2 linked regions of the Bombyx mori genome follow. The protein of the gene in region 1 interacts with the protein of each later gene in a pairwise test. Links are inferred from orthologs where the notes say so. Each region holds a gene or a part of one and is shown on either strand. Other genes may lie near its edges.

Region 1 (6,040 bases):
TACCAACGATCGGATAGAAAATTACCATGTGTGCTATATTCTGGGAAATTAACGCATGAAAATACTCTAAAAGAATAATATATGTTGCCATCGTCGACAAACACAAACATGATGCACACCTATCATTATAGACAGAGATAGTCATGGAAGTCTACAATCGACTTTTGTGAATCTATCTTCACCTAGTAAAGGATAGGGAAGGAAACCCATACTTACACCGGTCACTCACATGCGCACGAATACGCAACCCACAAGTGTAGGACGACATTTGCGAATGATTATGCAAAGTTTTCGCTGCATTCGTGGTTTTCCAAGCTGTGTCGGTTTAACAGACATCAAAGCGCGCGAACCTCGAACCTTCACGTAGTCTCCCACACATTCGCTTGCCCAGTTGCGCCGACGATTGCGAAGGTAACGGACGTATACTATACGCCATTTTCATAGTTCGTGACGTCTACTGTGTAGCGTATCTTCATCAAAAGAAATCCCATAAAAACAGCATGGCTGTTAATGATGTCTGGGAAAGAATTAAAAACTTTTTCTCTTCAATGTTCTATTGACGAATTAAAAAGGAGAAATTCGTGAGACATTCGTAAACAAGTGTAGGAGGAAGCGCAAACGGGTTCGCAAATTGAGTATGCGAACCCATTTGCACAGCCGCTAGGCCGGCATTAGTCTATACTCATTAACGCATGAAAATACTCTAAATGAATAATATATGTGGCCACCCTCGACGACCATAAACATGATGCACAACTATCATTATAGTCAGAGATAGTCATGAAAGTCTTTAATCGACTTTTATGCCGGCCACTCACATGCGACTTTTATGCCGGCCACTCACATGCTCCACTCATGCTGTTTTTATGGGATTTCTTTTGATGAAGTTACGCTACACAGTAGACGTCACGAACTATGAAAATGGCGATACGTCCGTTACCTTCGCAATCGTTGGCGCAACTGGGCAAACGAATGTGTAGGAGACTACGCGAAGGATCGCGGTTCGCGCGCTTTAATGTCTGTTAAAAAACCGACACACCTTGGAAAACCACGAATGCAGCGAAAACTTTGCATAATCATTTGCAAATGTCGTCCTACACTTGCGGGTTTGCGTATTCGTTCGCATGTGAGTGACCGGTGTTAGGGCCGAGTCACACCGGAATGGCAACGTCGCGGCGAGCACTTTCCGTGTGAAATAATTTTAAACTTTATCTTCTTTCTGGTCGTTCCCTCAATGCTGAGGATCGTGACTGTATGTCAATCTTCTCCACTCGGTCCGGTTCTGCGCCATATGTACTGCTCCCCATATCTGGCCTCCAGTCACCTCCTTGAGTTGGTCAACCCATCCAACTTTATCTATATATACTTATAAGACCAGTATCGCTTGCAAAGCTCCAAAAGGTCGCGACACAGCCGCGCGCCACGTCCGTCTTGTCTGTGGTTCTGCCCGCGGCTGCTAGCGGCGACACGAGGCCGCTCGCGGCACCGCGGTCATATATAATAACCAATTCCATCATGTTCACTCTAAACATACGTTTTTTTTTTTTTTATTGTTTATATGGGTGGACGAGCTCGCAGTCCACCTGGTGTTAAGTGGTTACTGGACCCCATAGACATCCACAACCTAAATGCGCCACCCACCTTGAGATATAAGTTCTAAGGTCTCAAATATAGTTACAATGGCTGCCCCACCCTTCAAACCGAAACGCATTACTGCTTCACGGCAGAAATAGGCAGGGCGGTGGTACTTACCTGCGCGGGCTCACAAGAGGTCCTACCACCAGTAATTTACACAAATTATAATTTTGCGGGTTTCATTTTTATTACACGATCATTGCCGAATGAAGAAACTAATCTAGTCAAGAGGAGACTAGGCGCATGCAGTCTGGAGGCCGCGCGAGGCCGCCAGCGGCGACGCCGGAGGCCGCTGGCATCGCCGCCAGCTGATGTCGGACGCTGCTATTCCGGTGTGACTCGGCCCTTATGAATCTACCTTCACCTAGCAAGAGATAGGGAAGGAAACCACTAGGAAGAGAGACCTCTTCTCTCACGGACCCACATAATCAGGAGTAAACATTACCTATATCGATTGTGGAGATGTGGGTACTTTGTGAAATATAATTCCAATTAATGTGAATAAAACTTCATAACAACATCTAAAATTTAATTTTACAACACTGTTCAAAATATATTACTTAATTAAAAAGCAACGTTATGAAAAACAATTTGAAATCCTAAACATGTAATTATATTCACCATAAATTTAATTATGTTGCTAAAACATTACTGCACTCTTGACATAGGTACACCACAAAACTTTTAATTTTTTTCATACCCTTTACAACTTTTTATTCCTAACATGATTACTGCAGCTCAACCAAAATTCTTAAATGATTATGAAATTTCCCCATTAATATTAAAATTAATTGGCATCTTAATTAAAAATAAAATGACAAACACAGTCCATTTCTTAAATCAATGGTAATAATTCCAAGTTAAGTTTAAAATAATATAAAAGAGCTTTCTTATGAAATTACAAAATTATATTAGAAATTAATAAAAATATATTATCAAAGGTTGACTGAGCTGATATGTCAGTAAAAAAATAATATAATTAATCTGTTAATTAAGAGCTTAGTCCAAATCAGGAGCTGTGGCCGACGTCTTGCTTTCACCATCATCATCAGAACTATCTATATCACCAATAATAGATTTTATTAGACCTCCGAACATAGAGTTTGGATTTCTATTTTCCGAAGGTATTTCTATTCCAAACCAAATGCGGCCTATATTGTCTAAAAAAATGGAGTAGTTTGGATCCCTTTTAATGCTAATTGCATACCAATTCTTTAGTACCATAAACTGTCGTACATGTCTCCTGAAATTAAATACATATTAAAAAAAACTGTATTGATTATTTAACTTAAAATACTTAATATTTCTAGTCGTATTTTGCTATTTTGACTGGCTAAATATATTATGAAATTCACCAAATTCTTCAAAAAAATTGTTTACCACGATAAAATCATTTTTTTGTTTCAAGATATAATTTTATAAGATCTATCGTGAACAAAGAATTCTTGGATTTATTATTTAATTTTTAAGGTTATCTGCAAATAAATGAATTGAATTGTGCTATTTTGTAATGTAATAGATATAAAATTATTACTATTTTATATAGCCTACCTATATTACTAAAGGGACGTCCATTAATCACGTGAGGTAGTTTTGTGAATCTTTCGACCCTCCCTCCCACCTTGGTGAGACTTCATAAGATTTTCCTCCACTCCCTCCCCTCACCCCTAATCTTACACGAGATTCTTCAAAACTTATGTTTTGGCTGTAAATGTATAGGATTGAGAAAAAAAATAGCTACTTGTTCTATTACTTTCATTGAAGACTAACAAAGACTAGCATTTGTGAATATTACCGTAATTTAACATAACAATCATAAAATTAAATAGCGTTCGTCGAGTCGCACGTGTCAATACAGCTGGTCGACAGTGCACAATCGAGCGGTACTTTCCTGCTCTGTGAGGTTCTGACGAATACGAGAAACGCTATTGTGTCAGGTAGAAAAAAATCGGTGTCTGATTTGGCCATATTTTATTCTAAAAATAATTGTTCAGGCAATTTTACACCGTTTTCTGCTAAAAAGTGAGATATTCGCTAAGACCCCCTCCTCCATCCTAATTGAGATTTAGTTTGATCCCATCTCCCCTAGAACACCTCACGTAATTAATGGACGCCCCCTAATCGTTTTTTTACATAATACTAGGTGATAAACCTGCAATCAGAAGGAAAGGCAGATGGTGGAAACCCCCGCAGAATTCATAAACATAGACATCATGCATTATAATATGATTTTTACTTTTACTTTACGTTCCTGTGCAAAATCATAATTAAATTTCTATTTAGTCAAAAAGTTTTCAGAAATAGTTATCTTACATATATCAGTGTGCTTAGTGCAAGTTTTTTACCGTCTCGATAGCGTAAAAGTTAACTCAAATTTGTATGCAGTTGGAACAGCGCCCCTAGCGGCAAATATAGGCAAACGCTCCAATTCCATACAAATTTGAGTTAGCTTTTACGCTATGGGGAACGTTAAAAAACTCGTACTAAGCACAATGTATAAGATTCTGTTTATGGATGACATAAAAAGAAAATTAACTTACTGTTCGACAGCTCTCAGCAAGAACCACAAAAAATTCAATAGTGGGAATATATATGGAGGTCCTTTGCTATTCTTAATTTTGGGATGTGTTTCTGTATACCTCAAAAATGTTTCAGTTGCCATTCTTACATTTCTCAAACAAAGTATTTGCAACACAGCTTGTGCTATGAACAAATCTATTTCTGATTTGAGACCTTTAGTTGTGTGTAACTCTATAAGCATGTTAGCATATGCTGAACCATCCGATGAGTGTAAAAAGTGTCTATGAGCAGCTGTGTACTTTTTTTCCTTCCAAAATACTTCTGCTATTTTCTAAAATCAATTACAATTTGCGTCCGTTAGTTAAAATTAATTCTATGATCTTTAGCAATTCATAAACACATAATATTTTTCTAGACTAATAAATATATAAACACTTTTAACAAATTCAAAGGTTTAGGTTTTTTATGAGTGGGGTCTGAAAACTTTCCGACCTAACACAGATACAAGACTTTTTTTATGTTTGTTTTTATTTTTTTTCATATTCGCCTCAACAAGTCGCCTTGTAATTCTTCATCCAATGATGCTCGCATATCTCTATCCTTTCCAAACAATAGACGCCGTTTTTCTCTATAAAATAATTATTCATGAAGGTAATTAATTGTCTCCACATAATTATAACAAAAAACTGTCCTCCGAGCGCAATTTTTTGATGAGGAAACAAAAAGAAGTAACTTGGAGCTAGATTTGCTGAGTAAAGTCAAGATAAGGATGGTCAGCAGTTCAAAGTGCAATTCGTGGATTTTTGCTATGGTAACCACGGAGGTCTGAGACGGCATGTTGTCTTCACCATAGGATTTTCTTTTTCTGCACAAATGACCATTTTTTTTATTTTTTATTTGTCAAGTATTGATGCGTAGTACGCTCCTGTAATGGTTTTAATTTTTTAATGAAATTGATTAAGATAACTCTATGACTATCCCAAAAAACGGTCACCATCACTTTCCCAACGGAAAAAATAATTTTTACTTTTTTTTAGCTGGTTCCCCCTTTGCAGTCCACTGTTTTTCGGATGTATAATGGTATATCCATGTTTCATCTATAGTAAATTAATTGGCACCAAAACTCTGATTTATTGCTAAACCTAAACTGCACCAACAGAATTGGAAACATTCAAACACGTTTTTTTGTTTTTGTGACCATACATGACACTCAACGTGCAGACAGCTATTTTTCTCATCACTAATTCATATGAACAAAACATATGGACATTTTCATAGCCTCTACTATCTATGTTCTCTCACTTTAATTCAGGGGTTGTCTAGCACCATTTGATGATTTTAGGGATGTTATTGTCAATAGTTGCTCTTTTTGGATGTCCCCAATGTGCATCATGTCCCAAGCTTTCATGGAAATCAATTATCATTCATTTAAACTCAGTGGCCCAAAATTTCATTAGTTAATTATGGTGTAGAGTTCCCATACACGTAGTCCAATTCATCTTGGCATAGGTGTATTGCCTTTTAACCAACAGTGCTCTGTACTTTTTGTACCACTTCTTACCAGCAACTCAGGTACATTTTCACAGTGACCTTTGGCAATGCCCTAACATGTATTCTATCCAGAAATCAAATGCTTCTGTGACATTGCACCCTTCATCAAGTCTTCCAACTAATCTTCGCTTTCGATTTCACTAAATCTCATCAATGATCTCTTTGGTATTATAATTTCAGAACCATGACTTGAAGTGACCGAATTATAATCAAAGTTGTCTTTTGCAATATCTTTTAGCACTTCTAAATCAAATATTGGTGTTAGATCTTTACTATCATTAAACAAATATTTTCATTATTATGATTATTTGTCTTCATATGGTTAACCATACAA
Region 2 (6,913 bases), on another chromosome or scaffold:
AATAACATTTTGTAATAAAAATCAAACCCGCAAAATTATAATTTGCGTAATTACTGGTGGTAGGACCGCTTGTGAGTCCGCACGGGCAAGGTATCACCGCCCCGCCTATTTCTGCCGTGAAGCAGGAATGCGTTTCGGTTTGAAGGGTGGGGCAGCCGTTGTAACCATATTGAGACCTTAGAACTTATATCCCAAGAAGTGTGGCGCATTTACGTTGTAGATGTCTATGGGCTCCAGTAACGAGATAACACCAGGTGGGCTGTGAGCTCGTCTACCCATCTAAGCAATAAATAAAAAAAACAATGAGATGTCCTTCTTGAAACGAGGCTTTTGGAGAGTATTAAATGGTAGGAAGCGGCTTGGCTTCCCCTGGCTTTATTGACATCCATGAGCGACGGTAACCACTTACCGTCAGGTGGGCGGTATGCTCGGCTGCCTGTAAGAGCAATAAAAATAGCGATATCTAAGTATAGGAAAAAAGAGAATTTGGGAACATTGAAATGTCCCAATATATACATGATTTTAACACGTTCAAAAGTTACTGAACTATTGATTTTAGCAATCATACGATGACTATCGCTAACGATCGACTCCAAGCCCGTATGTTTCATTCCATTTGCATAGGTATATGTGACTTACATTGTTTGTTTTGGCTATCTTTCGTTTTCTAGTGTAGGGCTTAATACATAGTAATTCTGTTAGTAAAGCCTGGCTATTATTCAGCTTGATATTTCGTAGCTACTTAGAGATACAGTTATAAAGTGTTGTAACATATTAACTCAGGTGTTCTTGTACATACTATGTATGTGTGTACGTTTTTAAATAATTAATAATATTTACTCAGCCATTACAGAAGAATTGTTGAGGTGCCGTTGAGGATATTTAAAATGAATTTTAATAAAGGCGTCTTTAATGTCGATTTCAAATGACATATTCTAACTACTTAATCGACTTAACGTAAAGATGGAAACGAGACGTACCGAGAAAACTTCACCAATATATCTAAGGCAATACAAGGCCTGGCATTATGCAGTCGGCTGGTAATAGTTTCTATGCACATATAACGGCCTGCACTCTGCACCCGGCCTGCCTCTATGCACATATAACATGCCTATTTGTGCCGTGAAGCAGTAACGCGTTTCGGTTTGAAGGGTGGGGCAACCGTTGTAACTATACTTGAGACCTTAAAACATATGTCAAGGTAGGTAGGTACCACCACTCAGCCTATTTCTGCCGTGAAGCAGTAATGCGTTTCGGTTTAAAGGGTAGGGCAGCCGTTGTATTTAAAAAACTGAGACCTTAGAACTCATATCAAAGTGAGTGGCTCATTTACGTTGTAGATGCCTATGGGCTCCAGTAACCACTTAACACCAGGTGGGCTGTGAGCTCGTCCACCCATCGAAGCAGTAGAAAAAAAAAGTCTTAGGTAAAATATATGAACATTGATACGTACTTTGTGTCGCCACATACGATCACAGGCAAACGCGTGTTGAAATCGATTCTTGTCAACTTCTTAGTCTTTTTGGAGACAACAGCTTGGACGCATATAGGCCTGTACTTGTTCACGTTCAAATCGTACACGTAAACCTGTTTTGTATCATTCAATATTAACGTTGTTGCATTTGGCTTGCGGAATGCGGAATTATCTTTGACGGCAATTTGAAATCGTCTTATTGATAAATTGCCCTTAACAGCTACGACATGCCCACTGCTAAATAAAACTGGGCAGTCTTTTAAATTTTTACGTTATAAAGTGATTTACAATTCAAAGGAAAGCAATTGAATTAATATTATATAAAATATAAACTTGGTCAGTGAAAACGGTATTGCTGAAATGTAATAAAAAACAAAAATCTTCACGATATAGTTAATAATATACTTGTTAAAAACACAAAGTCGAGTAGTTTTTTTTTATGAGTGAACGATTACTGGTGGCCCTGAGGTCTTTCCAGTTTCACCAGGACCGGTGGGCGAGCAAAGGGTCAGCCAGGAGGGGTGGGATTTGCTAACAGCTGCCCGAGCGCCTGCGAAGGGGACCTAGAACTCAAGAGCAGTTGCTTCGCGAATGAATCTACTCGCGAATGAAGCGATTTCGATCCGATGACAGATACTGCGAAGCACTACGCTTGCTAGGACAGATGTAAGCAATTTTTTTTCAGACAGAGCCCCCTGAAATGGCTCACCAGTCAACGTGGAGCCAGAATAGCCCCTCGATACTACTGATAGATGACTCTTAAATAAAGAGCTACACGTGCCATATTCGTCTGTTTACTATTTTGAGAGGCTCATTTAACTTCTGTAATTGTGCAAATCTTTTTTTCACGTTTAGCAACTTAGTTTTAATATTCAATTAGCATTTATTGTGTTATCACTGTTTAGCATTAACAATTCCGAAATTACCAATGTTAGCATAAACATGTAAACCAATGTGGCTACTTATGTCGGATCTACTAATAAAAAAATAACGACCCCAAAATAACTTTTTTGTACAAAAACTAAATTTAAGTTAGTAAAAAGGTTTTACAGTTATTTCAAACTAGTCAAAATTGACTATATTTAAATAAATTGTATGCACCAATTTCTTGAAACTATACGCTTGTGCCACCTACCATAATTACTGGCAGAAACCTTTTCTCAAGCGAGTGTTTTCTCAATTAGCTGTATCAAGTTATTAGCTTTTTCCTGCGACTTCGTCCGCGTGGAATAGTTATTTTGGCATAACGCTAAATTTTACCCGCCTCCTCATTTACGTAGAGAGTGAAAATATTTTTGAATAATAGAATGTTAAGGAGCTATTTAAGGTACAAAAATCACGCTTTTTAACCAACTTCAAAAGAGGAAGTTTTCAATTCGACCACAATTTTTTATCTATGTATGTCCACCGATTTCTCAAGCATGCTTGAACCGATTCTGATACTCCTTTTTTTTTTAAAACTAAATTGTATCTCATAGAACTATCGTAGTTCGCTCATCGCACTCTATTAATTCCAATTCACTCTAAGCTCGTCGTAATTGACGAGGACGGTAACCGGTGCTTGAAGGTACTTGAATAAACATTCAGTCAGCATTTGTACAGGTCACTAGTCAAACCCGGCCCGATTAGCTTGACGATCTTTGGTTTAAATTTGAGCAGATCAGCTGATTAAGCTTCATAGTATCATCCGCTTGCCCAATCTAAAGATTTCTTGAAAAGTTCATCTAAATCTATCCAGCCGTTACGCAGTCATTAGAGCAAATACATACACACATTTACTTTTATATATCATTTGGTAATTCAAATCTTAAAAAGAAATCTCTGTCAACCGATGCCTATCTGTAGATTGGATTTAGTTTTATCTACACAAAAGTAATAATTGAAAACAATTTTTTTACTTCAAAAATTTATAACAAAACACCAGATAAGACGTACTGCACAAAATGAATTTAAGTTTTGAAGCATTAGTGATTAAGGTCGAATTTCGATAATTGCGTTTAGAGAACACTCATCATTATTCTATACATTGTTAGTTAGTTAACAAGTCCTCTCAGGTTGAGCCCCGTGAGCTCACCTATCCGTTCGTGCATAGTTCGAATAGCCCCTTAGGCTACCAAAGATTAGTTAGGGAATATTACAAATAAGCTTCATGAAGGGCTTTTTACTGGTGGTAGTACCTCTTGTGAGTCCGCACGGGTCGGTACCACCACCCTGCCTATTTCTGCCGTGAAGCAGTAATGTGTTTCGGTTTGAAGGGTGGGGCAGCCGTTGTAACTATACTGAGACCTTAGAATTCATATCTCAAGGTGGGTGGAGCATTCACGTTATAGATGTTTATGGGCTCCAGTAATCACTTAACACCAGGTGGGCTGTGAGCTCGTCCACCCATCTAAGCAATAAAAAACAAAAAAAGCTAAGGATCGCAGCAGATGGAGGGAAATGGTACGGGAGAAACTGATGCAGCGGGGGAGTCACGACCCTCAGTAATGAGGAAAACGACACGAGGAGGAGGATAATAAATTAAATATACCTTTCCATCAGCCGTGCAAGCGGCAAACACAGTGCTTGAATACGGTGCCCATTTTACGTCGCCCACCGCCGCGCCCAGTTCAAACATAAACAACGGCTCCCTATTAACAAAAACACAACAATACTGCACAACTATTTCAGCGTAATGTAATAGTTTAAAAAAACGAACAAAATACGCTTTTATAGAAAATCCAATTTGGTGACGCAGGTGAGCGTCACCTTAAACGTGAGCTGATGAGCTGAAAGGGGGCATATGAACTCTGCGGAGAATGAGCGGACACGAAAGGGTAGGTAGGAAAACGGGACTTACTTGGAGGCTGATGCTGGCATTATCACGGTCGTAGTGGTGTTCCTCTGCGATGGGTGGCACATACACCCTTTCACCGGTTCACACTCAACCTTTTACTTAGCAACGAAAGGCGCGCGCGCACAATTTTCTCAATATCGAACGAGCGTATCTCCGCGTGCCGTCATGTACCGCACTGTTATGAGAGGTGCGGGGTGCGTACGGGCGACGGCACCCGAGTTGAGCCGAACATTTATGAACGTCGCGCTGTCGCGCGAACACAATTAAAAAATAGAAAATAAATTTGAATTAAAAATAGTATAATATTATTCATAGAATATTTATAAGTACTTACACCATGAACCCCACGCTTTTTTTTACTTTTATAGAAAATCCAATTTGGTGACGCAGGTGAGCGTCACCTTAAACGTGAGCTGATGAGCTGAAAGGGGGCATATGAACTCTGCGGAGAATGAGCGGACACGAAAGGGTAGGTAGGAAAACGGGACTTACTTGGAGGCTGATGCTGGCATTATCACGGTCGTAGTGGTGTTCCTCTGCGATGGGTGGCACATACACCCTTTCACCGGTTCACACTCAACCTTTTACTTAGCAACGAAAGGCGCGCGCGCACAATTTTCTCAATATCGAACGAGCGTATCTCCGCGTGCCGTCATGTACCGCACTGTTATGAGAGGTGCGGGGTGCGTACGGGCGACGGCACCCGAGTTGAGCCGAACATTTATGAACGTCGCGCTGTCGCGCGAACACAATTAAAAAATAGAAAATAAATTTGAATTAAAAATAGTATAATATTATTCATAGAATATTTATAAGTACTTACACCATGAACCCCACGCTTTTTTTTACAATAAAATCATTTTTTCTTAGACTATTTTTAATTCAAATTTATTTTCAATTTTTTAGTTGGATTTTCTATAAAAGCGTATTTTGTTAGTTTTTTTAAACTATTATTTCATTTTTAGTTGAATTTTTCAGTTTTTTCAAATTTTATTTTTAAATTTTTTTGTAATATTGTATTGTCATCGGTCCTTAATAAGTATACCAAATTTTGAGTTAATCCGACGTTTTGAAGGGGGTCAAAATCATGTTCAAAGTTCCGTTACAAATATACATACCTACATACATACATACATACGTCTGAAGCTAATAAGAGCGTATTAAAAACTAATCTAATTCATTCTATTACATAGCAATGGTTAGAAACCATATTTCCAAATACACTCACTCTCTTCCGTCTTCCCAAATTTTGACCCTCCAGTCACCCGAGCATGACGCATAGATACTGTTATTAAAGTAGTTATAGTTGATCCTGTAGACCGGCATGTGGTGTCCTTGAACCGATCGCACATAGTTCCGGTTGTATTTGAGGGAGCAAGTGTGGATCATGCCGTCTTCGGTACCCACCATGAAGATATCCGGCTTCTCTGGGTGAAAACATATGCAGCTACCGCAGCCTGGGTGGGAATTAGTAAATGTCTCCTTTAAATGGTATGATAATCGATAGAATGAAAAATACCAACGGTTTTGAGACAAAGAGACGTACAAACTTAACTGGCTTAAATATTAGAGTCCTTCTAGGCGCAATGAATTTGTTGTCCGAACGGGTCCTATTGGTAAATAGTAACTTGGTTATAACCCTGTCATTACTGATGAGCCCACGAGTAGCAGTGATTATTCGCCATTAGATGAAGCATTTGTCTCTGAAGGTAAGGTATAAAAGTTGTGAGAAGTCGTCGTGGCCTAAAGAAGTTGTCGTGGTCTAAAGGATAAGATGTCCGATGCATTCGTGTTGAGCGATATATTGGTGTTAGAATCCCAGGCGGGTACCAATTTTTCTAATGAAATACGTACTCAACAAATGTTCACGATTGACTTCCACGGTGAAGGAATAACATGATGTAATAAAAATCAAACCCGCAAAATTATAATTTGCATAATTATTGGTGGTAGGACCTCTTGTGAGTCCGTGCGGGTAGGTACCACCACCCTGCCTATTTCTGCATAGGCATTAGATGATGAAGCCATGAAGCAGTAATGCGTTTCGGTTCGAAGGGTGGGGCCGTTGTAACTATAATTGAAACCTTAGAACATATCTCAAGGTGGGTGGTAGTGGTGGTGGGTGGGCTCCAGTATGCACTTCACAACAGGTGGGCTGTGAGCTCATCCACCCAGCTAAGCAATAAATAAATAAACGTTGAATACCAATTGTATCCAAATGTAAGTTTGTAAGGCTATTAAATCGATTTAAAGTGACACGGCTTACTGTTAACGTTGATCATGGTGCCGTCAGGTCCCGGTATGGGAGGCACGTTGGACGTGAGCGTGATGATAGTGGTCGCTTGGAGCTCGCCCGGCATCACCGCCCATTGGACGACGCGTCCGTCGCCGGAGATCGAGAAAAATGTCGATTCACCATCAATCAAACGTGCTCCCCAACGCACCTGAACAATCGATTTGAATTCCGATTTAGTATCGTAATCAGAAATAGTTTTGCAATCTAATCTCCACACTATAAAAGTCTAATTGTGTATTTTTTTGGCTTTTTCTTGAATTTTTTAAATTTTATACGTTGACAGATTTTCATAATGGTTCTATGTAGC

Evidence for each region.
Region 2: the proteins of Golgi to ER traffic protein 4 homolog (region 1) and ATPase ASNA1 homolog interact in binary tests that used the Homo sapiens proteins (3 or more experiments, as listed by UniProt). The link is inferred for Bombyx mori from reciprocal best matches to the Homo sapiens genes GET4 and GET3.

Annotation. Positions count from the first base shown.
Region 1 is NC_085123.1:7,282,486-7,288,525, reverse strand, and holds the end of Golgi to ER traffic protein 4 homolog, read right to left. Parts: intron 4,487-6,040; coding exon 4,176-4,486; intron 2,879-4,175; coding exon 2,635-2,878; 3' UTR 2,144-2,634; downstream 1-2,143. UniProt on the Homo sapiens protein: As part of a cytosolic protein quality control complex, the BAG6/BAT3 complex, maintains misfolded and hydrophobic patches-containing proteins in a soluble state and participates in their proper delivery to the endoplasmic reticulum or alternatively can promote their sorting to the proteasome where they undergo degradation.
Region 2 is NC_085125.1:5,275,719-5,282,631, forward strand, and holds the start of ATPase ASNA1 homolog, read right to left. Parts: upstream 4,527-6,913; 5' UTR 4,314-4,526; intron 4,105-4,313; coding exon of another isoform or gene 4,005-4,104; intron 1,588-4,004; coding exon of another isoform or gene 1,454-1,587; intron 1-1,453. Other genes in the region: dynein intermediate chain 2, ciliary, read right to left, coding at 1,454-1,587, 4,005-4,104, 5,539-5,767, 6,577-6,754.